Medicago truncatula: one gene and its partners. The protein of the gene in region 3 binds, or shares a complex with, the protein of the main gene of each other region. Links are inferred from orthologs where the notes say so. Each region holds a gene or a part of one and is shown on either strand. Other genes may lie near its edges. The genes, in order: mitotic spindle checkpoint protein MAD2, mitotic spindle checkpoint protein BUBR1, mitotic checkpoint serine/threonine-protein kinase BUB1 and mitotic spindle checkpoint protein MAD1.

Evidence for each region.
Region 1: mitotic checkpoint serine/threonine-protein kinase BUB1 (region 3) and mitotic spindle checkpoint protein MAD2 share a complex: the UniProt entries of both Arabidopsis thaliana proteins name them as parts of the mitotic checkpoint complex. The link is inferred for Medicago truncatula from reciprocal best matches to the Arabidopsis thaliana genes AT2G20635 and MAD2.
Region 2: mitotic checkpoint serine/threonine-protein kinase BUB1 (region 3) and mitotic spindle checkpoint protein BUBR1 share a complex: the UniProt entries of both Arabidopsis thaliana proteins name them as parts of the mitotic checkpoint complex. The link is inferred for Medicago truncatula from reciprocal best matches to the Arabidopsis thaliana genes AT2G20635 and BUBR1.
Region 4: mitotic checkpoint serine/threonine-protein kinase BUB1 (region 3) and mitotic spindle checkpoint protein MAD1 share a complex: the UniProt entries of both Arabidopsis thaliana proteins name them as parts of the mitotic checkpoint complex. The link is inferred for Medicago truncatula from reciprocal best matches to the Arabidopsis thaliana genes AT2G20635 and MAD1.

The regions. Positions count from the first base shown.
Region 1 is NC_053044.1:42,315,272-42,322,218, reverse strand, and holds mitotic spindle checkpoint protein MAD2, read right to left. Parts: upstream 2,374-6,947; 5' UTR 2,228-2,373; coding exon 2,155-2,227; intron 2,072-2,154; coding exon 2,056-2,071; intron 1,968-2,055; coding exon 1,837-1,967; intron 1,358-1,836; coding exon 1,133-1,357; intron 1,035-1,132; coding exon 913-1,034; intron 825-912; coding exon 768-824; 3' UTR 515-767; downstream 1-514. UniProt on the Arabidopsis thaliana protein: Required for the execution of the mitotic checkpoint which monitors the process of kinetochore-spindle attachment and delays the onset of anaphase when this process is not complete.
Region 2 is NC_053042.1:12,600,755-12,608,758, reverse strand, and holds the start of mitotic spindle checkpoint protein BUBR1, read left to right. Parts: upstream 1-4,992; 5' UTR 4,993-5,077; coding exon 5,078-5,274; intron 5,275-5,360; coding exon 5,361-5,420; intron 5,421-6,407; coding exon 6,408-6,552; intron 6,553-6,664; coding exon 6,665-6,822; intron 6,823-7,167; coding exon 7,168-7,249; intron 7,250-7,357; coding exon 7,358-7,421; intron 7,422-7,503; coding exon 7,504-7,588; intron 7,589-7,855; coding exon 7,856-8,004. UniProt on the Arabidopsis thaliana protein: Essential component of the mitotic checkpoint. Required for normal mitosis progression. The mitotic checkpoint delays anaphase until all chromosomes are properly attached to the mitotic spindle.
Region 3 is NC_053045.1:38,309,325-38,316,312, forward strand, and holds the start of mitotic checkpoint serine/threonine-protein kinase BUB1, read right to left. Parts: upstream 3,022-6,988; 5' UTR 2,943-3,021; coding exon 2,869-2,942; intron 2,773-2,868; coding exon 2,631-2,772; intron 1,993-2,630; coding exon 1,835-1,992; intron 642-1,834; coding exon 551-641; intron 379-550; coding exon 268-378; intron 179-267; coding exon 91-178; intron 1-90. UniProt on the Arabidopsis thaliana protein: Serine/threonine-protein kinase that performs 2 crucial functions during mitosis: it is essential for spindle-assembly checkpoint signaling and for correct chromosome alignment. Has a key role in the assembly of checkpoint proteins at the kinetochore.
Region 4 is NC_053045.1:64,602,113-64,609,891, forward strand, and holds the start of mitotic spindle checkpoint protein MAD1, read right to left. Parts: upstream 3,016-7,779; 5' UTR 2,927-3,015; coding exon 2,780-2,926; intron 2,713-2,779; coding exon 2,613-2,712; intron 2,535-2,612; coding exon 2,176-2,534; intron 2,098-2,175; coding exon 2,005-2,097; intron 1,897-2,004; coding exon 1,780-1,896; intron 329-1,779; coding exon 81-328; intron 1-80. Other genes in the region: NADPH-dependent pterin aldehyde reductase, read left to right, coding at 4,519-5,162, 5,248-5,317; uncharacterized protein, read right to left, coding at 6,678-6,737. UniProt on the Arabidopsis thaliana protein: Required for the execution of the mitotic checkpoint which monitors the process of kinetochore-spindle attachment and delays the onset of anaphase when this process is not complete.

The DNA of each region.
Region 1 (6,947 bases), on a different chromosome or scaffold from region 3:
TATGATAGATAGTTCTTAATCTTCTCGATTCATCTGTCACCCAGTTATCTTCAAAATAGGAGAGAAACTAATAGTTTGGGGATTAACTTGATTGTTTAAAAGAACATAGGAGGAGAGAGTAATAGTTTAATGGTCAAATTTATCATTTACTCTTGTTTCAATTGTAAACCATGCTCTTGGAGGATTTGCTTTTTGTATGATCTCCTTTTAACACTTTCACACAGACAGATTCACTAATTCATAACATTTTAATGACCAAATTAAATATTCACTCTTGATTCAATATTTCATTTTATTTTTTGACAAGAGTTATTCATAAATTTATGTATCTCCTTTAAATGCTAGAATGATAGTTCCAAATACCCATGATTAAGAAAGGATTAGGAAATTCCTTGAGATCATGGATGCTTCCACCGCCAGATTTGAATTATCATACTCGGAATGATTCACTATTTCATAAAACTGAGTACATGGATATGCTTCCACAGCCAGATTTGAATTAACATACTAGGAATGATTCTAGGAATGATTCACTATTTCATAAAACTGAGTACAATCAACCATAATTCTGAAAAGATTAGGGAAGTTTTTTGATATCCTTGCCAAAAGGAAAACATAAAAAAGCGAGGAATAATACATCTGACATCCACATCAGTACACATCTAACCATGTGAATAGAAAATTCACAACTGGCACAATCCACTTGATTTGGAAAAAATAACAGAAACAGAACAACATGACAAGAAAAGGACACGGGCGGCTAAGCTTTACTGCTCATCCCATTCGTCGTTCTTGTATGATACAAGTGTGTCAACCTTGTGAATCTGCATAACCAAAATAAGTATTACTTATAGCCAAAGGATAAACCATGTCTGTCGATAAATAACAAAATTGGTTAAGTCCAAATTGCACCTTAGTATCAAAGGAATGCAGTTTCACCATTTGTGGATTAGCAATCAGCTTTGGATCACTCTCAGTCCAAGTGAATGGAACTTCCACATCTGTGTTAGTATATGCTAACACATCAAACACACCTGAAACAAATAGCCAAATTCAACTAGGAGATAAAACAATATAAAATGAAGATTAAGAAAGAAAAAACATAAAAAAGAATCAAATAGTGGCAGCATACAAGGTTCATCCAAGCATGGCAAATAGGTGATACTTGAAGCTATCTGCCTCATAATTGCCTGTATCTCTCTCATGATTTCCTTGTCACTCTTCTCCCTTGACTCGCCCTTCTCGACAACCTCGTTATCAGTCTCAATGCTGAAATTCCACCTTTCAAGGACTTCACCAGTGGACTTGCTCATTATAACAAGGACAATCCTCTGTAACTTGCCAGCTTCAAGCCATTCTTTTCAATATTCAAACAGTTTGATAATCAGCAATGGTCCATGATAAAATCACAAAACAACCGCTGATTCTCAAATTTTAATAGGTATTGAAATCCCCAAGAAGAATAAGGAAATGAATGGTAAACAGTAATCTTAACATCTATTCATATTTAAGATTCCCAATTTTTCATAAATCATAAGTAATGAAGCACGGACACACCATACACAACACTAACATGTCAACATCAAAAGTAATTTAAAAAAAAGAATTAATTTTATGTATCGCATGTGTCGGCGTCGTGTTAACGTGGAAACTCGTCTTCGATCAGAAGTGTCGGTGCTACAGAGGTGCTACAAAGGTCATTTGTCACAACAATAAATCTGTTTCAATCTCTGCACATGACTAAATAGAGAACCATAGAACAACAACAACAACAGTAACAACAACAACAACAATAATAATAGAAAGAAACAAAGTAGGGTTAGGGTTGTTAGTTACCAGAAAGCTGAGCAGTTAAATTGGTTATAAAGGACTTAACACCCTCATCTTCAGTAAGCAACATCGGAAGGCCATATTTCTTCACCTTCACAAAGCTTTCTTCTGGATAAACACCGCGATTGTAAAGGATGCTGAACAAGTTCACATGTTAATCAATAATATCACGAAATTTCAAATAACATAACTAGAATATACGCTAAACAAAATGCTGAATCAAACCTGTTAGCAGCATATCCTGATGAATGAAAATAAAAATAATCAGTGGAAAATACGAAAATGTAGAAAAAATGAAAAAAATGTGAATAATAATAATATTACCGAAGAACTCGCTAACGATTGCTGCAGAACCACGAAGAGTGATTATGTCTTTGGTAACTGTTTTTGATGCCATGATCAAGTGAAATGAGAGCGAAATTTTGGTAGTTGGAATTGGAAGAGTAGAAGAATGAACTGAATCAAAAATGAGAGAAAAGAGGATAATAAAATAGGGATTTGAGTTGGAAAGAAACTTGTAGGGGAAGCGCCTTAACGGCTAGTTCTGCTTTTTTGTTTTCATTGCGCTTTTTCTTGTTTTTTATTTTATTTTATTTTTTATCCATAAGATTATTTTGAATTTGGTTATTTAACGGTCAAGATTCAGAATCGCCTTTTGTGATTCCCTTATAAAAAAATATTTTGATTATTAATATTGTCGTTGTTTACACGTAAAGAATATTTTTATTAAATATTTTTATCTTATATATCAAAAATCTTGTTAAATAGTTAAATCACATCAATTGTAGATTTTATTTATTTATATGTGCGAAAACAATTTTTTATGCACATATATGAGAAATTCGATGTGATAAAATATTGGAAATTCACAAATATTTTTAAAATATAAACATTAATGTAGACTTTCTATTAAAATAACTTTTATTTATTTTATATGTAAATGGGTGAAAGTGAATTTAAAATTTTAAAAAGTGTAACAAATCCGATAGAAGTATATGTCCATATTTTATATTTTATTTCTTTTATCCTTTAAAAAGGAGTTTTTCTATTTACACCCCATATTTTTTTGGTTACATCCAAATTTTCTTAAAAAATTTTTATAATATCAAAATTGCCCTTTTATATAAATTTTCTTAAAACCCTAATTTTATTCATTGTCAGTGAGTTTCACCCTCTTTCACCCCACAAAGCGATCGATCAAACAATTTGATGTTCAATATCAATCTCCATGAAAATTAAAGAGTGAATCAAAATATTTTTCATCCATACTCAATTGGATATAAGTAAGTGAATTTCTTCTTCTATTTGCTAGTTTCAATTTTTTTCCTTCAACTGCAATGATGCACTGTACGATTACGGTTTTAATTTACATTGGCAAGGTTAACTTAAATTCAGTTTAAGTAGGTTCATGTAAACTTAGTTTACATGAACCTACTTAAACTGAGTTTACATGAACCTACTTAGATTGAGTTAACATGAACCTACTTAAACTGAGTTTACATGAACCTACTTAAACTGAGTTTACAAAATCGCAGAACTGCGAAGCGAATCGCAGAACAAGGAAAACACAAAATCAGAACTGAGAACCCATAAAAAGAAAAACACAATCGATTGAAGAACAACACTTGCTAACCTGATTTGCTTCGAATTTTCTTTGAAATCATGAATGGACGTGAGAAAGTATGGTTTTGAAAATCTTCGCAGAACACAATCGATCGATTGGAGAATTATGGTTTTGGAAGAATGGTTTTGGGGTGTAACCAAAAAAGAAGGAATAGGCTTTTTGAAAATCAAATTTTATGAAAGGGTAATCTTGTCATTTTGGGGTGCAACCATGATTAACTAGGGTGCAACTAGAAAAACTCTTAAAAAGTGTAACAAACAATATCGTGTATATTAGTTAGCTTCTTAAAAAAAACAATATCGTGTATATCTTCTATACTGTTGACCAAACAAATGCTCTAAAAGACCTATTTACTTAGACCCAATATCAACATACCCAAATCCAGCGTTTGGGCTACTTACTCGAAACACACCCCTCTTAACGAGGGAGGTGCTCGTAGCACACAAGAGACTAGTTCAAACGACTGGCAACATCTCTTAAACGTGGCTGTAAATCTATCTCTTACGGTTACGATTCCCACGAACCTGTAACTGTCAAACCCCACGTGTGTCCTACTTACGGGACTTGCACCTCCATGATATATAAAGGGGACTCCTAGCAGTCTCAAATGTTAGATTCTTTTTAGGCTCTTAGCCCCCATTCTCGTTTAATTATGACATGAATGTCGGAGTGTCCGCAAGTATACACCCCTAGCCGTTCTAGTTGCAACGGTTGCCATTAACCACCGAAAAACGCCGCGTCGGTAGTCACCTTCTGATCAGGTACGAACATGGATCCAAGATGTTTTTTTCTTACCTATTTTACCCTTCATTTATACTATTTTATTTACTATTTTATTCTTTAATAATATTATTAAAAATTTAATTTAAAAAATTAGATTCCATCGAAATAGGAATATTACATCACAATATGAACAATATCTATATTATATATAAAGGGGATATGGATTTTAGTCTAACTATTTTATTATTTCAACTGTACCCTTAAATAAATTTTCTTGTATTAAAAGTTATATTGTTTGTTTTAATAAATGTTATATTGTCAGTGTTATTAAAAATATGTATAATATTTGTTAAATTATTATTGTCACTGTAAAAGATAAACATGATTTGCTGGGTTTGTTACAATTTGTACTTATAACTTTAAACAAAATTAAAATTTCATATAAAATATTGTTAATAGTTTACACGCATTACCGCGATAAAAAGTGCGAAAAGACGGACACGTGTTAGTTGTTATAATAAGAACAACCATACTTTATCTGTACTATATTAGCGAAAAGACAACACTTATGCATCTGTTTTTTCGCTTTTTTGAATGCACTAACACATGTAGATTATCAACAATATGTAACAAACTCAATAAATCATATTTATCTTTTTCAATAACAAAAATAATATAACATATATTAAAAATTCTTATCATTTATAATAACGCCAACAATATAACATTATTATAGGAAAAATTATTTAAGGGTATGATTGAAATAAAAAAACGCAACCCAAAATTCACTATTCACTTTATATATTTATACTATATATAAAGAAAAGACTTTTTTCCTTCAAAAAAATAAAAATAAAGAAAAGACCTTTTAAATACACGAGTTTGATCCTTCAAAAACAAATACACGAGTTTGAGCTGACTTTTTTCATTATTTATCTTACCTTTCATTTAAACTATTTTATCATTTAATAATATTATTTTAAATTTTAATTAAAAAAATTAAAGCACATTAAACTAAGGAATCATCTCACTGTAATAGAAACAATATTATGAGTCACATGAACTTAGCTCAGTTGGTAAGAACAATGCATAATATATACAAGATCCGAGGTTCGAAACTCGAACACCACAAAAAAAACAATATTATCATTAATATATATGAAGATGATAGAGATTTTAGGCTGAATTTTTTATAATTTCAATTAAACCCTTAAACCTATTAAATTAACAATTTAAAGAATCTATTTAAAACTTAAAAAATATATTTTTTTCAATGGAAAAACTTATTTTAAACTTAAAAACTAATTCAAATATTTCACGAAATTAAAAAGATAATTAGCAAATGTCCCTGTGAACTTAACTCACTTGGTAAGGGATAATGCATAATACATGCAGGGGTCGGGGTTCGAACCCCGAACACGCCACTTATCCACTTTAAGTTTAAGTTGAATTTCTCCGCGCTCGATAGGCTACCCGACAAAAAAAAGTTAATTAGCAAGTAGAACAACATCACACAAAAGCTTCCGATCTGAATTTAGGATCGGTTTCTTATCGTTGTTTACTAAGCAGTTTCCATGGCAAACGAACATGGAATCGCACTTCCAGTTCTAAAATCTGGAATTGGGTTTCTCCATGAAGTAAAAGGCGTGTTTCACGGCGCAAAAGGGAAGAATATGATAAGTTTGTAAAAGACATAGATGATTTCAAGAGATGCATGAATGATCATCATCGAGTCAGACTTCCAGTTCAAGAATTCAAACAAATGGTGAATGAGGTCCTTAAAGGGCATATGTATTTAATTTTGGGATTCAACTACTACATGAGGCATTATCGAATCAGACTTCCAATTCCAATCCATCATGATGAACAACTAGGTCATAAGACTGGTTCTGGTTAGTAGTTTTTTATGATTATTGTACCTCACATTTGTTGATAATTTTACTTTGTATTTTTTAAAGGGGTTTGGTAACTTAGACAAAAAACTATTGTTTAATGTTTGTAATTGTCTATTTGAGACATAAATGTGTTTATAACAAAAGTGAGTTAAAGTATTTGAGACATTCATAACAAATAAAAAGGTACACACTTGCCTACTTAGACTTCATGTTTTTAGATTGGTCTAATTAGCAAACTCCTTTGTATAAATATTTCATATTTGTGCAACAAACTGATGATTGGCTGCTAAAACAAGGAATCCTTCCCTCTTATAATCCTTGTTTCAGAAGTGCTAAGATGAACCGAGGCACCAGCCAAAACACACCAGAAACAAAACACGAAAACTGTCGACCAAAATTGCTACCACTGAACAGAAAATCAGCACAAATCCTGCAGAAAAACTAGCCCTCAGCCACACAACAGAGAGGCCACCAAAGTAACACAAAAACGCACCAAAATTCATCCCTCTAGAAACTATAAAAGTTGCTAATAGCTGCCTAAACCAGAATTGCATCAGATGCTACATTGTTAATTTCCATTTGAGTATGAAAATGGATATCTATTGTTTGGCATAGTTATGTTGCTGTAAAAGGTGTTTGCTGTGATTTTGAGGTGGAAGGGGCTTGGTTCTGGCTGTGATGGAGTATGGAGTTTTTGGTCTACTTTTATTTACCCCTGTTTTTTTTTTAAATGGTTTTAGAAGTTGTATGGTGTATGGTGTCATAGAGGTTATACAGTGGTATGATCATAGAAATGAGAAAGTAAACCACCCACATTAAAAAAAAAAAAGGGATACTACCTAATTGTATTGTGTAGCACTTATATGTTGGTCTAA
Region 2 (8,004 bases), on a different chromosome or scaffold from region 3:
TTCAAGTGGGCAGAAGACCATATAAGATTTGAAGAGGTAAAGATGAAATCTTATGGGACTACATAGTGTAATTGGATGCAAAATCTTGTTGGGATTTTTTCTCAAGAAAATTGAAGATGCTACCTGTTTCTCAAGAAAACAAAAATATAAGGCGGTTTTTTGCTTGACAAAGCATATGAGCTGCAAGGTTATTTCTTGAAATCCAAGACAAGCAAAGTGATTGCTTCACTTGTTTACCTATAGGTCTTATAGTTCACAAGGTTGTTTCTTAGAGTACAAGACAAAATAGGGTTTACTAAAAGAGAATTCTTAGGAAATCAAAGGCTAATGATTGGTTCCTTTTGGGATAGAAACTAATATTGAGAAATACTTTGAAAACACCTTAGGGATATAGAATATGATTGGAATTAGGGTTTGTTCTAAAAAAATTTATTGAAGACTAATTTCTTGTAACTCATGTATCTCTTTGATAGTGAATTGAAGAGATCTCTCCTCCAAACGTAGGCCAATTTAGACCGAACTAAGTAAACAAATATCAACGTGTTCTTCTTATCCTTCTCGTTTATCTTATTTTATTGTTTATGATCACTTTAATTTTAGTTACTGCTAGTTTTGGTCCACACAACAAAGTATTGGTGTGAGTTTTGATCCAAATTCACAAATTATTCAAATTACAATCATTCACTTTGATAGTCTTTTATCAAGGTAAAATGAACACATATTTAAGAAAATGAAAGCATATAACGTTTTCACCAAGTAAACAAGCCCTTAACATGTCTCTTTTACTACCTATACTTTATATTCACTCTTGCTGATGATACAGTAAGGCTATGATCCTATGTCTATCTCCCATCCCAGTCTATTGACATTCATAACCTTTTCTTCCAATAATGCTTACCCTACTTTCAAATATTGTCCAATGCAATAATCCTTATCCTATTTTCACATATTGTATTTCTTTCCTTTTCTTATCTCCGATTCATTTGTGAATTGATAATTACCTTTTTTTCAATAGACATGATAATCACCAACTTGTTGTGGACTTTTAATTTTTGTAAAAATTAATCAACACGCAATGGTCAATAATATAGTTAAACAGGGGATACAGTGATATATTTTTAACGTTATTTGTAGCACATTGAATTCTATAATCCAACTGGAGTAAAACTAATATTTTTGAGAAAGACAGAATGTGAAGAAAAAAAAATTCTCATAATATATTTTCCAAATTGCTGTGACCGATTACACCAAATTCCACGAGCCCTATTGAGCGTGGATTATGTGGTTGCATATTTTATTTGGATTATGAAATTGGAAAAAATGTTGAGTGTTGAAGGATGTTTTTAACATATTTTTATACATTTTTGATTATACGATCCCAAATATTGGAAGGTGCGCGAAAAATTAGTCGAATGTGATAGGAATTGTCGAATAATTAATGATATAGATAGATTCCATAAACCCTAGTCACTTTGAGTGTACAAAGGCATTTTCGTCTTTCAATTTGTACACACCGGTCAATTTTGTCCTCAAATTTTTTGAAATAGCTAAAAGGTCTTTGAACTTTACAAAAGTCGATCAATTTCATCCCTCCGTCAAGTCTCACCGTTAATGGTGATGACGTGTGACGTTAAGTGCTGACGTGGATTGCCAACTCAGATGCCACATATTTAGGGATGAAAATGGTCGAAAATTATATTTTTTTGGACTTTTATTTAAATGAAAGTCATTACAAATTGTTACATTGTCAAATTGATCAATAAAAATTATTCACTAAAAATCAAGATGGTCCTTGAATTATGTCTCTCCCTATCAAATCAATCTCTGAATTATTTATCTTAACTATCAAATTGATCCCTATCAAATAAATGCTAAAAACTGAAAGAATGTGTTTAACTTTATTTATTACATTTTCATGTTTGAAATGAAATTTCATCCATGTTCAACGTATCCTCGAAGGTCTTCATGCAAAAGTGTTGAAAACCACTTCAAATTCTCTTTGTTTTCTACATCCACATTTATGATATTATAAACATAATTTTGCATATGAAAAATTCTCTTTGTGCTACCAAATCAAGAACCGCCCCTCAGCCACCATACTGGAGCTTCTCTAGAGCTCTCACATGTAAAGATTCACCTGTTCTTGACATTTTATGCATGTTTTATTTATGCTAGGTTGATGTCACTGCTAAAACTCTTATGCATAATGTTTCAAGATGGAAGGGCACATCCTTTACTAATGATGAAATAAATACTCTAAGTGAAGCAACTCTTGCATGTTAATCAACTTGTGATGAAATTTTAACATAAAATTTCTTAGAGTCCTCATTGACAGAAACTTTTGTTTCGTTATAGCCGAGGATCTGGCAGGATCAGTAGCATGGCTTGGTAGAGGTTTGTCTTGTGTCTGTGCGCAAATAAGAGATAGTGATGCTTCTAGCTTTTCTGAATTAACTCTTAAGCAATATTTTTATAATTTACTAAACTAGCTTTTAGTTTATGTTTTGAGTGTTTCTAATTCTGGTAATTATTACGCTCCATGCATCATCCAACAAAAACTAGAAGAAAACATAATTTTTTTGTAGCATGTTATATGGACTAAAAACTAGCTTTTAGTTTATGTTTAGAGTCTTGCTTAACTAGCTTTTAGTTTATGGCTTGAGACTTTAATGTGGATATTATAGGAGGCCTTTAAGGTATTATGGAAGGTTGCCTTTTCTAAAGAAGAACTCTATGGCTTGATATCAGAGCAGTGGAAGGAAATGAGTTGGCAAAGGTGGGAAGATTCATCAATAGATTTTTTTTAGATAGACATTGTCCTTTATCTTGTGTTCATCTTAATTAATTGTGTTAATGATTTTTATTGTCATGTGTTTGTTATTGGTATGTGCTTGTGCATGTAGAAAACAAAGAGAATTTGAAAGGGTTTTCAACACTTTTACATGAAGACCTTTAAGGATATATTGAATATGGATGAAACTTCATTTCAAACTTGAAAATGTAATTAATTATATTTAAACACATTCTTTCATTTTTTAGGATTTATTTGACTGTTTCAGGGATCAATTTGATAGTTAAGATAAATAATTCAGGGATCGATTTGATAGTGAGTGACATATATAATTCAAGGACAATCTTGATTTTAATGAATAATCCAGGGATTGATTTGACAATATAATAATTTGTAATTACTTTCATTTAAAAAAAAAGTGCAAAAAAAAGTTAATAATTTTCAATCAATTACGTCCCTAAATACGTGGCATCTGAGTTGGCAATCCATGTCAGCATTTAACGTCACACGTCATCACCGTTAACGGTGGTGAGACTTGACAAGGGACGAAATTGATCGACATTTGTAAAATTCAGGGATGTTTTAACTATTTCAAAAAATTTGATGACATAACTGATCCATATGTACAAATTGAAGGACGAAAATGCCTATTCACCCGATATCTTTGCTCTTTTTCGAAGGACCCCCCTAGCCACTTTGATGAGTCGTGATAGTTGTTAGATGTTTTGAACAGCTTGTATAAGTAGTGTCATGGTGAAGGACGTAAATTTCACAAACCAATAAATGTTCATGTTGTCGTCGTTGTTGTTTTTATTATTAGACTTGTGTTATTTCAACATCCATATATGTGACAACCAAAATTTTATAAAGGAAATGAGGTAGTGGACACAAAAACCAAAGCAATAGAAAGAGAAAGTAAAAAGATAATGTGAGTATGAGAGAGAAAGTTATCTCAAAAATTGTAAAAAATGATTGTTCAAATATCATTTCTCTTATTATTAGTAGTTGTAGTCTTTTTTACAAAAATTTAGATAATAGATATGTTTCAATTTTTTATTGTAGTAAACTATACTTTCTTACATAAGTAATAAATTATACTTATCAATTTCAATGTTAGAAAGAATATAACAAATTATGAAAACTATAATGAAAAGCACGGTGATTAGCTTTATACCACCAAAAGAAAAGAAGCTTAATGCTCTCCACAAGTTGAATTGGAGAATTTTCTATACCCCGAAAAAGTCTAACATTTCTTTTCTTCCAAATCATCCAAGAACTAGCAAACCAAATCAAATGCATGAAAGAATACATTGATTTAGCATAACATGAAGAAGTACCAAACTGATGAAAATGATCCACAATATTAGAATGATCTGCTGAATATACACAAATCCAATTCCTAACAAGCTGCCAAATATGACCAAAAAGATTAAAGTCAAAAATAAATGATTATGTGATTGGAGGAGACCATATCCAATAGCACACAACCAAAGCCATGTATAATAATCCCTCTTTACATACTAGACTATAGACTAACTTTGACATAAACAAATTTTACGGGGGACTATAGCAAAACAACAAGAATCAAAACAAAAAAAAGTTACATAGTTGCAAGCAAGGATTAACAAATTTTCTCAAATACTGAAAAAACAAACAAAAAATTTGTAGAGACAAAAAAAAAATATTCAAACCCTTATTTATTTAATCATTATTGAAAATTTTATAAATATTTTATAGACTAAATTACACCGAAAGTCCTTTAAGTTATTTAATTGTAACATATTGATTTTTTAAATTTTTTCGTACCACTTAAACCCTTTAAGTTAATTAATTGTAATAAGTTGGTTTTTAAGTTTTTTCCGTACCAATTAGATTTTTAAGTCATTTAACTGTAACAATTTAAGGATATAAAGTTTAGGAATTTCAGATCTTATAAAAGACCAATTTGTTATATTTTTTACGGATTATTTTATAATTTTTATCATTCCTATTTTTTTGGTGTTTTTTAATATTCCTATTTTTCCTTAAAAGATTTCCTATTTATTCTCCCCAAAAAGAATATTCCTATTTATTTTCATCATTGTTGACTCTCCAAAAAAAAAAACAATAGGAAAGTAAATTAATTAATTTGATTAATACAATATTATTCATTTTCCAATAAAGTAGCAACGGCTAGTATTAGCGTATATAAAAACACTTTCAAAATTCAAATCACAAATTCAACGCTCCCATAAGATTCCTTGGTAGTTGGAACACAAAGAAGAAGAAGCTTCAGCAACAACAACAATGGCGGAGATTGAAACGCAGAAGATAGATCCAGAGACAGAGTTTCTAGCATCGAAGAGAGAAACCGGAACCGAATGGGAAACCTTCAAAGAAAACGTGAGACCATTGAAACGAGGTCGTAATGTTAACATTCTCAATCACGCTCTCAAATGTCACACCGACAATTACCTCAAGAAATCTCTTATTCAACAACGAAGGTTCTTCTTTAATTATAAGGATTTCTAGATTTTCTTCGTTTTACTTTGTTTGATTTCATTTAATTGATGAGTTTTTGGTGTAACAGAAAACTTATTGAAGCCATTGATGATTACAAAGGCGAAGATCCTCTTCTCCCTTGGTTAGAGTGAGTGTTCATTCACTACTGTTATTAATTGTATCGCATCGTTACTAATTTAATGTTGTTATAATATTTTTAATTTTAGGGTTTATTTTAGGAGATTGGATTGATATGATTTTGAAGTTTTAGGACCTGATTGGATATTTAGTGTATATTTGATTATGCGGTGACAAAAATAGATTTTAGATGAATTGATTATGTGAAATTGATTTTACTTAAAAGCGAGTTGAATGTAGAATGGTCTATGTTTAGATAAATTCATGTAAAGTGAGTTGAACAATAAACTTTAGAGTAAAGATCATATTTAGACTCAAATGCTACAAATTCTAGCTTCAAGTTAGAATTAATTCTAGAGGCAAAGTCGAATCTACTCCAAAGCAACTAAACATGTCAAAATCAACTTTACACCTCCACAATCAATTATGGTTACTGCAAATGTGGAACCAGACATAGGCTTAGTTTCTCAATTTGTGTCAAGTATAAACACTTGTAAAGTGATTTTGAATGAATTTATTTTGTAAAATTTATTTTGGCTAAATATCATTTTGGCTGCTCCAAATGTGGAACCATACATAGGCTTAGGCTTAGGGTCTATGCTGACAAATAATGATTTTGAATGCAATGGCTGCTCCAAATATGGAACCAAACATAGGCTTTGGCTTAGGGTCTATGTTGACAAATAATGATTTTGTAAAATTGATTTTGGCTGAAATAAAATGAATTATGTTTGGTTATATTTGTGTGAAAAAGAGTTGAATGATTTAACCAAGCCTAAAAATCAATTCTAGAGGCAAAAACTGCAAATATTAGCTTTAAGTCTGAATCAATTCTGTAAAGGTAAAATGAATTATACTCGATAACAAACAAACACGACAAAATCAATTCTAAACCCTTAGAATCAATTTTACTTGCTTCAATACTGGAACAAAACATAGGTTTATAATAAAATAATAAATTGTGAATTTATTTTCTATTTTGTTATTGATGGTGAAGGTGTATGAAGTGGGTTCAAGAAGCGTTTCCTCCAGGTGGAGATAGCTCAGGGCTGGTGGTGATTTATGAGCAATGTGTTCGTGCTTTTTGGCATTCGGAACGGTATAAGGAAGATTTGCGATATCTCAAAGTGTGGCTTGAATATGTAGGGTTCTTAAATCTTTTGTTTTTTAATTTTTTACTTAATTATTTATTTAGTTGGTTGCTTTGATTTTGAGTGGTGGTTTGATAAGAAGAGATGTTGTTGTTGGTTGCAGGCAGAAAATTGCTTTGATAAGGAAGTTATATATTCTTTTTTGGATGCAAATGAAATTGGAAAAACTCATTCCGATTTCTACATTTCATATGCTTTGCACTTGGAATCCAAGAACAAGTTTAAAGCTGCTAACCAGACATTTGAACTTGGCATAAATAGGTACTGTGGTTTCTTATCTTATATCTTGGACCTTGTAATGAAATTCATATATTGTTTGATGTGTTAATTTGCTATATGCCATATTGTATACCAGTTGAATAACTCCAGGGAAAGTGTTAAATGCTTTTCACTTTTGCATTAATTATGGTTGCCAAAGGATATAATTGTTCAAGGTTTATGTCCATGTGGTTTCAATTTATACAAATTTGGAAAGGAAAATACGTGTGTGCATTTGTTATGGCCAAAATACTGAGCCTAAGTTCCATGAGATACCTTAGTTGACGAGTCATATAACTTTATAGAAGATCTAAATATTCTGTTTTGGTATGACTACCAATTTTGCAGGAATGCTCAACCCATTGAAAAACTGAAAGCTGCTTATAGAAAATTTCTTGTTCGCTCAATGTCAAGGACAAAACCTATAGATGTATGTGGTGTTCTCATTAGCACCTCTTCCAAAATTTTATAATATGATTATCTATGACTATGAGCTATCTACATTTGTTGTCTGACCCTCATATCTTCCGCTAACTAGGACCCAGTGGAAAAAGAGGCACCTGTGCGTAGCTTTGGAACTCTTCTTGCAAAGGGAGATAATGGTTAGTTCCACCCTTTTCAATTCTCTCCACATTACTTTTTGTCTCAATATTTTAAATTCTGAACATTTTTTCTGTGTTGTAGGTGCGCCCTTGGCTCCTTTGAGCAGTAATCGTTCTTCTAAGCCCTTGGCCCCTTTGAACAGTAACCTTTCTGTTAAGAATGATAGGTAACAATCCTAACAGTATTGTAGCTTTGGATTTATTTGGTTGGAATTGCCTTATTTCTTCCTCTTGTTTTTTGGATCCTTATTTCCATATATACTTCATTTTTCAAATCACCTGCACGCACTATGCACATAGTCTTGTAGAGAAATATATGAATAATGAGTTTCTAGGAACATATATAAAATGACCTTGGAATTGTCAAATTCCAATTTCATGCAATGTACCTCTAGGTTGGTTTTTATTGATATTTTCATTATTAAATCTTGTAGGACTCGAGCAGCTCCACTTTCCATTTATAAAGATTCAAATGCCAATGCTGAGACCTGTCCACCTCAGCCAGATCCGTCACACTCTTGGCTCAAACTTGGTGGTCGTGCCGAAAGAAACAAGGAAAACAATGCAATTCCTGCAAAATGGA
Region 3 (6,988 bases):
CATGCATACACAGAAAACGGAAAAACAGTCAGACAACTACAAATATAAGATAAATATGATCAATACTTGAGATCATGTTCAGACATCTACCTATCTCTATAACTTTATTCCTTGATGCATTCTTCAAAGTGGATAAGGCAATTTTTCCTGTATAAGATTTAGTGCTCGAATGGTACCCCTGAAATGTATTTAAAGACATGTAAGGGAACATGATCTTTGTCAAATGTATTAAGTTTAAGCATGTAACAAAGGATCAAAATGTCTCACGTCAAATTTCGTAATTAAAGGATTTATCTTCTTCAAAAGGTCATTCAGAGTAGAGGCATCCCATGGATTAATGTCATTATTTTCCAACGTAGCAGATTCTTTATAATCAACCTGAAATTATAAGTTACATAAGAATTCTTAAATTGATATTTAGAAATCTAAAAAATTGAACTGAAACAGGGTTGAGGAGACAAGTGGCAGAGACCATAAAGAATAGTGATATATAAAGGTTGGCTCAATTTTTAACTATGGGATTGTTCACCTTTTCAATATAATTTCATACCTTCTGGCTTGAAGCAACATTGCATATTTCAGAAACTCTACTGAGAAATAAGGTATGTGCCTTCTCCAACCATTTAATTGGCTCTGCATTTCTGTCAAACATGGACCAAACATAAAATTAGAATTACAATCCTAATGCAAAAAATCTCACACCAACAAATCAGAATAAAACAGATATAAAACACCACGAAAAAATGGAGTCTTTGTCACCTTCAGGCCACGTCTATGTAAACCAACCATCTCAAAATAATTGTATTTATGATTCGAATTTGCAAATCGGTGCCTAAATGAAGTAGTATTTATTCACAGCCTAAGGATGCAAGTTTGTTACTCTTCAATCCTGTAATTGGCTTATCAACAGTATAATTTGCAGGATCAAGTTCACAATTTCTTGACATAAAGCTTTGGTTAATTCTGAATGTATGGGAATGTTTTTATTTTCAAAGAATTGCTAATGTTGGATGATCAGTTCAACTGACTTCGTAAATTCCTAAAGAGTCTTGGCTCATTTTGCATCATAAAGATCGTAATGAAGTAGATGTATCTGGGAAACTAATAAATTTGGCTTATTAAATTTGATTAAAAGACTGTACTGGTTCAATTGATGGGCAAGGATCTTGTTGATGGGATAGGTGTTTAAGTTCAGATATTGTACCGAATATTCTGACAAATGTACCACAAAATTATCATATAAATTCTATTTTTACTATCCTCCCAGTGTTTAGAAGTTGCTAATAGCGCAAACAATGGTTTTCTCATTGCGCAACTTCTCCCTGTGAGTTGCACAGGTTCGGAATCCTAATAAGTATACAAGTTTATGAAATTTGAATAAACCCATCCAAGATGTGTATCACCAAAATACCCCACTCAAGATCTACTACAAATAGTATATACTCACCAACAAGAAACACTCACTATTCAAGCAATCACTCTGTTTGAAGATTCACTCACTTCTCATGGATTTGGAAAGCCTCGGTGTTTAATGAAACTAGTTTACATTGTGGTGAGGTGTGACTTCTTCCACAAACTGATAAATGCTAATTAATTGTTCTCCCGTTTCAAATAACTTTGAAAAATGAAACTCATTAACTCCTTTTTCAAAAGATAAATTGTGAGATTGGTGTGTTTCCCACAAGTCAAGAATGAATTCTAACCAATACCATAGCAATTATAGGAGACACTGCATTTGGAGCTTTAGAAATTTAAAGTCATTTTCCCAACAAATCATTATGCTACAATTTGCAATATCAAAAGCAGGTTACAAATTCTTATCCAAAACACTAACTTGGAAATGCCGAGCTTGTAGATGGTGTCGGCATCGAGCAATCTACCCTTTGCTTCAAAAAAACATGCAGAATACACATAAAGTGAAGCATCGTTGGCACATATATTACTATTCAGCATTCCTTTGAAGACACTGTCAAAATCAGCACTAACATCCATCTGCATAAAGAAACCAACAAAACCAAGTTGAGAACCTTTCAATTTCAAGGTTCCTCAAAGCAGCATGTGCTCATCAAGTCCAAGCTGGCAAACCGTTCAAACAATATAGCAGTTTGTTGTTTGCATACAATAGCTAGTTGTTACTCTTCCATTTTTATGGGCCAATTATACATCTCAATTTATTTTCCTTCTAAATCTTTTGTCTCTTTAATATACTACTCCCTATATGTCTCTCTTATTATTAAAGTAGATAATGTATGAGATTAATTTCTATGCACTGACTGTGTAAATTATCTTTACACATGCATAAAATTATAACACACCAAATAGAAATAGTTATTTGTAGATACATTTTAGGCACTAACCTAATAAAAATAGCATGACTGGATGAATGTGTGAAAAAGTTTTATACAAACTAAATCTTAAAAATGATAGTTTAATTGACAAAATAACAGTAATTACCATGAGTTTGGTGAACATATCATGTTAGTGTAAAACATTTTTACACTGAAATTCAATGAGAAACCACACTAAAAAAAAATGGAGTGATATGGTAAAACGAAAATGCTACTACTATAAAGGAAGCAAGGAAGCATGTTAATTGAAATTTTGGGTAGAAAGAGTTGAAATATTATTACATATAGGAACCAGATCTTGAGAAATCTGGGATCATTTCGGTAGCTGTGATTGTTCTTGAATTTATTGATGCAATCTCTGAGTAACTTGCTGAGATTTTGAGTGGAGGAAGTGGTGGAATCTTCTAGAGCTTTTTTGATTGACCTGAATTCATTCACAAAATGCAGAAAATTGGTGAAAATGTAAAAAATTGTGCGAGTATGTGAGGAAAATGGAAATAGAGAAGAGAGAGAGTAGAACCGGAGAAAGGGTAAGAGAGGATCGTCAATGGCTGTTGTGAAAGTGGGGGAGTTGCGGAGGAGCGTGGTGGCCATTGAGTTGTTGAGTTTCAGTAATGAACCAAGCGCGGTACTTCCACCAATTTGAATTTATCCTTTTTTTTCTTCTTTGTTCTTTTCGAAAATTCAAATAATTGTTAGACCAAACTCATTAATCATTAATCAATTACATTTGAGTTCAAATAGTTAATTTTTTATATTTTATTTTGATTGAATTTGGAATTTTTCTGAAATATTTTTCACCTGGAGATTCAGTTTGTTCCTTCACAAATTTTCTTGCATTCCAATTTAGTCATTAATGTATAAAAATGTCAATGACTAATTATGTATTATTTTTTGTCAAGATTAAATTGAGGTGCAAGGGATCAAAATAGATTTAACAATATCTTACGAATCAATTTAATTGAGTAAATAGTCAATTTCCCCCCTGAAATTGTAAATTTTATCAATTACCCCCCCTGAAATTAACAAAACTTCAATTATCCCTCTGAAATTTCACAACATTAGTCAATTTACCCCCTCCGTCAAATTTTTCTGTTAGTGAACATGACGTTTTGCAAATACCCCCTGAAGTTTTGCACTTATGTGCAAAATCCCCAAACTTAAAAATTTATATTATTTTTTTCTTAAAAACAAACAATTAATAGTTAAATATTAAAACTAACTATTAATTTTGGAATTTGGGAAAACTACATGCATATATACATCAAAATAGGCTCCAAAATGGGGAAAAATATGTATTTTTTAAAGTGACAATAATGGGATGATTTGTGGATTAATATTGGGGGTTGTGTAGTTTAAATAGTTTGAGCAAATTGTTTAAGGAGTTGGAGGAGTTAAAAGACTAAGATGGTGAAGGAGAAATTATAAATTTAAATCTGATTATTAATTTGTTTATAAACCTCTAAAAATAATAATTTGTCTATTAGAAATAATCATTATTGTCACTTTAAAAATACACATTTTTCCCTATTTTGAAGTATATATGTATGTAGTTTTTCCAAACTCCAAAATTAATAGTTAGCTTTAATATTTAACTATAAATTGTTTATTTTTAAGAAAAAAATAATATAAATTTTTAAGTTTGGGGGGCATTTTGCACATAAGTGCAAAACTTCAGGGGGGTATTTGCAAAACGTCATGTTCACTAACAGAAAAATTTGACGGAGGGGGTAAATTGACTAATGTTGTGAAATTTCAGGGGCTAATTGAAGTTTTGTTAATTTCAGGGGGGTAATTGATGAAACTTACAATTTCAGGGGGGAAATTTACTATTTACTCTAATTTAATTTGCATATACATTTAGTGGTGGGAATTTTTTGAAAAATTGGGACTATGTAGTGATAAATAATTAAGTGTATGTTTGGTTACATTGTTGTATAATTGATTCAGATGTAGTTGGTTGTTTTTTTAGTATAATTGATTTTATCTTTAGAATTGATTCTACTTGAAGCTGTGATTTGTAGCTTTTGATTATATAATTGATTTTTACACACAAATTTATAGTTAAATTATCTAATTGATTTAGACGTATTTGGTTGTTTTTCAGTATAATTGATTTTGTGCTTTGAATTGATTCTAATTGAAGCTATGATCTGTAGCTTTTGATTATATAATTTATTTTTACACATAAATGTATCAAACCACAAATCACTTTACAATACATTCAACTTAGTTTTCGTCATAATCAATTCACATATTTTATGCTTTTTGCTAGTTAATAGTGTACGATGGGAAAAGTTATGGTTCATAAGTCATTTCCTTATGCACCGTGCATAAACACTTCACAACCATTGGATTTACATAAGAAAAGGCAGTATAAAAACAACTTCAAACAAAAAAAAGTCATAAACCAACACTCTTTCTCTCTCTAATCTGAAACTTAGAGAGAGATGCTATGCAAAAGAGTTTCTTCTCCGACCTCCTCTTCAAGCGCTGGCGCGGTGGCTGCCGGCCCAACAGGACGGCGGCGTCGCGCCGGAGATAGCAAAAACCTCCGTTTTCAAAAAAAAAAAAAATCAAGAATCCGACATCCATTTTCTTTTTAAACTCAAATCCACCTTTAAAATTTTCGAAAAGCAAACACATATGCCTAGATCTAACTTCAAAGATTCGAAAAATAAAAAGACATGGAAGAGAAGAATTCGAAATTGATAGAAGAGAAGAATTCGAAATTGATAGAAGAGAAAAGAAGAATTCGAAATTTGTAGTGTGTTATGATTCATGATTGTTTGCTGGAAAAGTGTTTGATGAATTTGTAGTGAAAGCTCAAAAAATAAATTGCTAAAACCATTCCCACAGCAAAAATTTCTGGACATCATTCCCATAGCAAAATGGTTTTGGAGTACAACACACAGAAACCATTTCCACAACAAAAATTTCTGGACATCATTCCCACAACAAAATGGTTTTGTTTTTAGAGTACAACTCACAGAAACCATTTCTTTCCTCCTCCTCCAATTGTGTCAGTCCAAAACTGAATGATTGCAATGGCTCTAGGTCCTTAGTTTTTTTTCAACTGTCGGAAACCATTAAGTACATCTAATGGTTTTAGAGTACAACTCACAGAAACCATTTCCACAGCAAAATGGTTTTGACATAATTTTATACAAAACTTACTATAATAAGGACATTTGTGACTGTCATTGAACCAAATCATCACTATGAAATCATTATTGAACTAAAATGATGATTTTCACGGTTGTAGTGTTGTTTCGTTTGGTTTCGCTTGGAGGTGTATGGAAGCAATTATATTTCAAATGGGATTTATGCACGGTGCATAAGGATTTCCTTATGCACCATAACCACTCCCGTGTAGTATGTGTTTGTCTATTCTTTTTTTGTTACCATTATATTAGTACGAAGTTTTCACCTTAGCAGAAATGGAACACATAAGGTGGATTCTCCCATTTCAATCAATTTTTTTTATATACATAAGTTAGAAATCGAACCCTGATTACATGCTTAAGGAGCTCAAGTCTCTTATCACTTGAATCAATTTTTTGTTGGTTTGTTTGTCTATTTTCTATCGTAGTTATTTTTGTATTAATTTAACGTATTTTGTTGTACTCTTGATTAATTATTTTGGGACACAGCTAAAAGTAAAATAGTGCAATGTTATAGCAAATTCTGATATCCTTTTAAGTTTGATAAATGTTACTCACACAAATCTTTTACATATAGCTGGTGGTTATAGTATCATGTATTTTTTTTATATTGATTTTTTGACACAGAGCACTATTTATTTTATTTTTAATGCAGTTTAATGACGTGCAAATGCTTAGTTAGTTTAGTTCATTACATAGTTGATAAATTACAACATCTTGTTATACTTTATGATTTAAAGGATGCTGCAATGACAAGTACAGCAAGGGCGTGAATCTTTGACATGGCTTGAATCCAATTACTCAACTAAAAATGAGCTTAATGGTTTTTCACGTAATGATTAATTTTTATCCTTTTTACGTAGCTTCAGATTCTGGTTTAGAGGGGGAAGGAGAGAGCATTGTAGATAGTTTTCTGTATGTAAATAGGAAAAAAAAACTTTGCTGAAAATAGTGAAATAAAATAGTAAGAACTATATAAATTTCGTTTCAGTTATGTACATATGGAATTTAACAAATTGTAGTTCAATAATACTGGAAAGTTTACTGTGTATCTCAAAAGTTTGTTACAGTTTCGATTTAATTTTCTGCTATTCTTCTCTTCGCTCACTAGAAAAGTCCTAAAGCTTTTCAAATAAGTAGCAGTAGGGTGGTTGGAGCATTTTCTTGAGCATCATCAACTTCATTTCTTTTGGCATGAATTTCATTTTCTTGGAATTTTTTGACCAAAAGAATTCATAATTTTAAAGTATCATAAACTTATATGGACTAACTCAGAGTCTTCATGAGTTATTCCTCAGTTATTCCTCAAACAGTTCATAATCTTAATTTACCAATATTAATGTTGAATTGGTATCACAAATAGTTTATACAGATGCATTACCTGCAATTTTGAAAAATTTACATCAAAGAATACAGATTTAACTATTACACTATTACAGTGACACCTAGAGGGAGGTGTCAAGGATTCAAGAGTTC
Region 4 (7,779 bases), about 26 Mb from region 3:
TTACTCCAGACAGTGGTTTCAACAGCTCAAATCTATTAAAACAGCGAAGCAAACAAAACTTCAATTAGCTACCAACGTACTTCTGTAAAGCTGCAAATTTAGAAGGCATGTCCTCAAAACATGAGATGCCAGGTATGTCTTTAATCATCAATCTCCATGATGATATTTGATCCTCTAACTTTTTCATATTTGACTGGACATCCTGTAGTTTAGATAGCTCAGATTGTGCCCTTTCCCGACGGCTCTTTTCCTCCAGCAGTTTTTCCTTCAAAAGCTCAATGTTCTCGTGATTTGATCTTAGTTTTCGTGCTTCCCTTACTTCAGATTCCTAAAATTGCAAAGTTAACTGGATACATTACTCAGATTACCACAGGTACAAAAAAAGTTTATGATGAGAATGCATCTGGTTATAATTCAAAGTTAAAACGAAGTCCATGTATTGACACCCCTCCCCTAAAAAAAAATGAAAGTTAGCCTAATTTAATCCTACAAAATTGACTTGGACGGTGAGGGGTTGCCCTAAACAAATACTACCTCCGTCCCTAATTATAAGACCCTTTTGAGAATTTTTTTTGTCTCTTTTTATAAGACTCCTTTGCTATTTCCAACTACATTAATTATTTCTTTACATACATGCCCTTATTTATAATACATTTTTTTTCTTCAATCAACAATAAATAACATGTTGAAAACATAATCCAACTCTCTCTCTTAAAGGATAAAATTGTAAAAACAATAGTAATTACAAACATATTTAATACAAATATCCACTATCTTAATTCCCGTTATTTTTTCAAAAGGGCCCTATAATTAGGGACGGAGATAGTAATTGCTATTCAAGCCATAACACAATCTAATATGAGACTCAACACACACCCTTCGCATATTATGCATGAACAGAAGCTTGATCGCACTGGTATTTCCTCGGGTTTTTTGGTTTGTACTAGATGCAGCACTCGTAGAAAATGTGTTTCCAAGTCCAAAAGTGAATTTTACGTTTGGCCAAAACTCATAATAATAGAAACATGCTAAGTAAACACATCAGCCCAATTTATACCGAACTCCATCACAACATGGCTATGGATATAATAGATGCAACATTCAGGCCTATTTTATCTCTAGGTCCATGGATGAATTTAACTTATATCCCAAGCATGTAGTTTTAGAAAAATACCAAGTAAAAAGACCAGCCCAATTGATATCAAGCTCCTTCACGACAATACTTTGGTAAAACGTGCACGTTCTAAACAACAGCGTGTTATAAACTTGTCAAAACACCAGCAAAGAGAAGGGTACAAACAAGGGGAATAATATGAAAGCACACCCCTAAAAGAAAAAGAAGAAGAACATTTTGATAAAGTGAAAACAAAGCAATGGTATCTTTATGGTATTCCAAATATCAGGTGTCAAATTTAATTATATTTACTAAAATTTAAATAAAAAAGAGACAATAAAATGTGAAGAAAAACGCAGTCATATATTTTGGCACTAATCCAAAAAAAAATCCCAAAAGATTTAAGAAAATAAAAAGACACGATTCAGGAGCCAAGCCTGCCCAAACCTCATCTTATATATCCAGAACATTTAATAAAACAATAATGTGCCTAACACAAAATAAAAATAATATAATAAAGTTAGTCCTCTCCATTTATGATCATGTCACTTGAATTGCAGCTGAAATTGGTGTACACATCAAATGATTGATGTATGCAACCTAACACAAACAATCAAAACATCAAGAGGCACTGAGACCCAAGATAAAAGACAAAGCAAACTTACATAATGTTGAAGTTCCTGTTGCAATTGTTTAACCAAAACATCACTCCATGTAGAAGAAACTTCCTGGGATGAAAAAGTTGCTAGCTTCTTTTCAGCTTCAGTCTTCTGGTGCAAACACTGGAAATAGGAATCGTGATTCATGATGTAAAGCAAAGAAAGTAACCCAATAAAAAAAGAAACATGAAAGTGACAGGAAGCAAGCAAATCAAATTGAACATTGCAAACCTCATTGAATTGGTCCTTGAGACGGTCCAATTGCTCTTTAAGCATCTCTGCTTCTCTCTCGGCATTATTAGCTCTACATTCCATTTGTTCAAGCTACAACAAGAAAAATATACAAGTTAAAGAATGATTGATAGATATGAACGAGCATTAGTCTGAACATTGACAACTTACATTAGCGGTGATTCTAGAAATAGAAAAGTTGGAGTCCTTTTTGAGTTGTGAATGATCATCGTGAAGTCTCTTTTTTTCCCTCTGTATGGTATCTGAAAGATTGCCTAGCTTCCCTTCTAAAGATGTTGCTTTCTCTTGGGTGGAAGTGGCATGAGACTCGGCTTGTATGCGAAGGTTTGTCTCATTTTGGAGCTTAGCCTGAAGTTCAGTGTTTAATTGAATATATTTTCTAAGTCTATCTTGAGAATCAGTAACCTCCTTCAAGAGTTGATCCTGGAGGGCCTTTTCACGGCCTTTAGAAGCAGCAAGTTCTTGTTCAGTGTATAACAATTGCTCCACAGATTTCTTCCTCTCAGTGTCTGTCATGTCAAATCAAAGTTGATGGTGAAATGAAATTGAAATTGAAAAGTAGTAATTAATTGATGATATTAATATACCGAGTTTTTGGAAATTATGATTGAGTGTTTGGAATTGAGATTGATAATCACGAACTTGATTTTCTGCTTTACTTAAGGCATCTAGAAAATCAGATTTAACCTGCGTTCGAATAATAATAATGAGAGACAGGTTAATTGAAGAAGAATGAGAAAACAAACAAACAAACCATTTGGCGACACTGATATGTGCATAGCATGTGCTCGGAGGGTTCCTCCACCGCTGGCGCCGGATCCTCATAGATAACAAGCTGTGCGTCGCCATCGCCGTCATCGGAACGTGGCCTCTTCGGTGGCGGAGGAGTACGGAGTATCATTCTTTCTTTCTCACTTACGTTTCAAATGAATTGAAATCCCCAAACCCCAAGGCGCAACTTTTATTCAACGGAAGGAAAAGGAAAAAATACACAACCTCCTTTCACAATATAATTGTTTTGCAATCACAATCAACATCATGTGGTTTCGTGGTGTAGTTGGTTATCACGTCAGTCTAACACACTGAAGGTCTCCGGTTCGAACCCGGGCGAAGCCAATTTATTTCTCTTTTTGTATTTTTTTATGACTTTCATTTTCGCCGTCACGTTAGTCCACTAATTGTTTTTTGAAGGACCGTGAGCTACTACTAATCTTTCTCTTCTCCATCTCTAACTATGTATGAAACCTAAAAGAAAAAGAAAAACTCAATTATGTCACATTTTAATTATTTGACATCTCAATATATTTTAATCTTTTGTCTTTTGTAACAAAAAAATTATATTTAATGAAGAGATAAAATAATTGTCAAAAGATTGAAGTAATTTTGTAAAAAAAAAAATATAAAGACTATTTTATGTAATTGTATGTAAACAAACTAAATTTTTTTTTTTTTTTAAGTCATTTTGATTTATAATGATAAACAAACACAAATTATATTCTATTTTTTTAATTGAATCTCTAAATTATCAAATGTCAAGATCATTTTTATTTTAATCCATAACAAATGGGTCATGTGAGACGGTTCATTATAACTTTCTTAAAATAATAACTTTAAAGATCATCATTCCGTAAAAAAAAAAAAACTTTAAAGATCATTGTATTTATTTTAGTTTTTTAATGAGAATCTAGAAGGAGAAAAAAATATATATTAAGATATTGTGACTATGATTTGAACTCATTTCCGCTGCACTATTTTTAATTAAATTGAAGTACTTTGAACGATGAGAATGTGTGACATCCTTTTATGTTTAAATATTGATTTTATTTTTAAGTTAGAAAATACTAGTTGAGGTTAGGGTGTTACATTACAAGTAAAGGTAGCCTTCATTTTTATCGGTTCAGAGTCCTTCTACCTTAGTTCATTTCATATGTCACAAGTTGTGTCATACAGGATGATGAGACATACAAACTCAACATATGGAACCCCTTGTTCTTCTCTTCCAACAACTAAACCAACCCAACTGTGGAACCCGCTCTCTGTGCAACCCAGGACCTGTTCAATCCGAGTGCTAAAGCATTGGGAAATGAGTGATATATTTTAACCACAGTTTTTGTCGATATAGTTTTTTTGGCCAAATCCGACCGATTGTCCACCCCTACGGAAAAAAAGATGCTAAGTCAAAAAATGAGTGACATGTCCAAAAAATGGACTAAAACGAAAGGAATCTCAAATTACAAGAACAAATTAAGAAGAAATAAATCGACATAAACTCGCTTATATATTAAAGGATAAAAAACACATATAACCTAGTAAAAACATATAGAAGTTAAAAATATAATATTACGAATATACTAGAATAAAAAAATAGGCACAATTTTTGACACAAATAGAACAGGAATGGATTTGGCGTGAAATAGAGGGGTAATTCGACTCCGTTCTTCCCCTTTTCTCCCTGCAACAGCAATCACCCTCCATTTTCATCTCATCGTCGGAATGGGTGGAAAGGGAATAGGAAATAAAAGTGTGTTGATTACTGGTGTTAGCAAAGGAATTGGTAGGGCTCTTGCTATTGAATTGGCGAATCGAGGTCACACCATTATAGGTTGTTCTCGTGCTCAGGATAAGCTTGATTCTCTTCAATCTCTTTTACTTCCAAATAATCATAATCATCTCTTCCTCAATGTTGACGTCAGCTCCAATGACAGCGTTCAACAGATGGCTCGCACTGTTATGGAGATGAAGGGGGGTCCACCTGATGTTATTGTGAACAGCGCAGGTACTATCAACAAGAACAACAAGATGTGGGAAGTTCCTTCTCAAGAGTTTGATTTGGTGATGGATACAAACTTGAAAGGAACTGCCAATGTGTTGAGACATTTCATCCCTCTCATGATCAACAATGGAGGAGGAGAAGGTATTATAGTTAACTTGTCTTCTGGTTGGGGAAGATCGGGTGCAGCACTTGTTGCTCCTTACTGTGCATCCAAATGGGCTATTGAAGGACTCACAAAGTCTGTAGCTAAAGAGTTACCACAAGGAATGGCTGTTGTCGCACTCAATCCTGGTGTCATCAACACTGACATGCTTGCTTCTTGCTTTGGTGCTTCCGCTTCTCTTTATCAATCCCCTGAATCATGGTTTGTTACTTGATTCACATTTTTCTTTTTCTCTTTTCTTCTTCAACTTAACTAATAACTCCAAATAATCAATCTCATTCATCAGGGCTCTCAAGGCAGCCACCATGATTCTCAATCTTACTCCAGCAGATAATGGTGCTTCTCTCTCCGTTTGAAGTCTCATGTGTGAGTCAGGCTAATCATCAACTCCTCAATCATATTTATTAGTACATCTTATCGTAGAATGATTGCCATTGCAAGTAAAGATCATGTTTTCTACTATCATTTCGGTTCTCCTTTCTAAATGAAAATCACCTACAAGCTCAGTTTTACTGTATAATTAGTATAATGCTGGCATAAAGTTGTTGAATAGTATAGATTATAATATCTTTCGTTGGTGTTTGAATCCAAAGGCGTGCCTCAGTTCAGTTTGCATTGCATTGCACTGCTTGAATTGTTGCACAATCCAAAATTCAGTTTTGACTTGCAATAGATGTATTTATGTCGCTGTGTTGATTAGTAGCAGGTTTTTATGTTGGCAGGTGTGGTTTCTAATTCAAACTGGTTCATGTGCATTCAAAATAGTGTGATTGCTGTCTGACTTAGCCGTATTTTGGTGTATAACTAAGGTTTCGCATCAGGTCGGGTCTCCGCATTGTGTGGGTTGAAGTCTGCAGGACATGCTTTTAAATTTACAAGAGGGTGTCTTTGTACTTCATTTATCATTTGACTATTGTTTTTTAGTGCTTCAAAGATGTGTCTTTAGGCAAAACCATCTGATGTATTCCTTGTTTGGGGTCTTCACTTTTGTTTTGTGGAGGAGAGTTATGGTGATTAGCTTTCTGCTGTATTTTACAGCTTGGTTGTTTTCTGTTCTTCTTATCTTCTCCCTGCATTTTTTTTTTTGTGCCGGGTTTAGATCTTTTTATTAAACCTTTTACTTTGTTTTAAAAAAATAAAATAATATGCGAATAATCAAAACAGTTGACTTTGCAGCCAATGTCCAGTCTATTAACCTTGGCAATGGTTGGTTGGTCAATCGTTCAACTAACAATATGTATGCCAATGGATTTTCTCAAATATTGTTTTTTCTTTCTCTCAGGTTTCTTATGTGTAATCTCACCATTGAGCTTGTTTACTCTCATTGTTTATATTAGAAATCCATCTTACCTTTTCTATTTAATTGTGAGATTAATAACACATGACAAACTTGAGAGGAAAAACTTGAGAAGATCCTTTCCCAATATACACATGCTCTGCCTATGACCTAATAATAATTATTACAATGGAGCTGTACCAGTTATGTTCACGATGGAATCAAATAGAGCATGAATGAATGATCTTTATCTTACTCTCCCGTCTCCAATTTTGTCATAAAGGATGAAACAAATAGCCAAACGTATCAAATACTATTATTTAATGGCCACTGATTCAACTGTACATACATTTCTAACAAAATACAGTGATTGCAAAATTAAAAAACCATATATATAATATTTACAAATTTCAAACCCTGCCAATGTGTGTATATACTTTCTACAGGACACCTTCCTTGAAAGGACCAGAATCACGCAAGAGTTTCATAACAAGCTTCACCTGTACAGGCAAAAATGTCACATTATCAAGTGCTTTGGAATCACAGTAGTTGGTAGCATGAATGGTAATATCATGACAGAACAAAACACCTAATTATAAAACCATTGAAAGAATGCAAACTTATCTCGTCTTATGCCAAAATGCACTACTGTGCTTAATTCAAATATTAAAAGCATTTAAGTTCTTAAGCCAACAAATGGTTACATCCTTGCCTTCAATTCTAATCGAGACTGCAAAGTGGAGGATTGTTCTTGTGAATGCATTTAAAATGAGACCTTTTGATTAGACGAGAAGTTAAAACTACATTAAGGTAATCAGTCGATAGTCATCACTAGGATATAGGTCTAACTATATTTAAGACTCCCACCTTTAACACAAACAAAAACAACACATCCTGGCACTCACAACAGTTCCCAGCTTGGCTTTAATGATTAAGGAGTACTCCTATCACGAGACAAAACCAACTACGACTCTGTTTGTGAGTTTGGAGGGTAGGGAGGGCTTTGGGGGGAAGAGCGTAGGGGAAAAAAAAGAAGAGAAATATTCCGGATTTTTTTAGAGATTGTTATTGTAGAGAATGATAGATGAATGTTAATCATTAATATATTTTTAATTTTTATAATATTATAATAACAGATTATATTTGAAGAATTTATCTAAACCCTCCTTCAATATAATTTTTGAGTTCCTCCATTTTGAGGGGATTTTGTGTTATGAAGAAAAATAAACCCCATATTAAAGTTGGGAGACTATTCTTTCTTTAACTTCCCTTACTTCCTTCCTCATACCCAAAGCCTCCTCTCCAAACTTGCAAAGTAAGCATAATGATTCTTTACCATCACAACAACAACAAGCAAAGCCTTTTCGCACTAAGTGGGGTTGGCTATATGGATTAAATTACGCTATAATGTTCTATCATAAACCATATTTCGATCCAACTAATTAATTTCCAAATCTTTCATAATAGTTTCTCTGATAGTTTTTCTAGTCTTCCTTTGTCTCTACAAAATCTATAGGTAAGGAGAGTAGATCAGATGGAGGA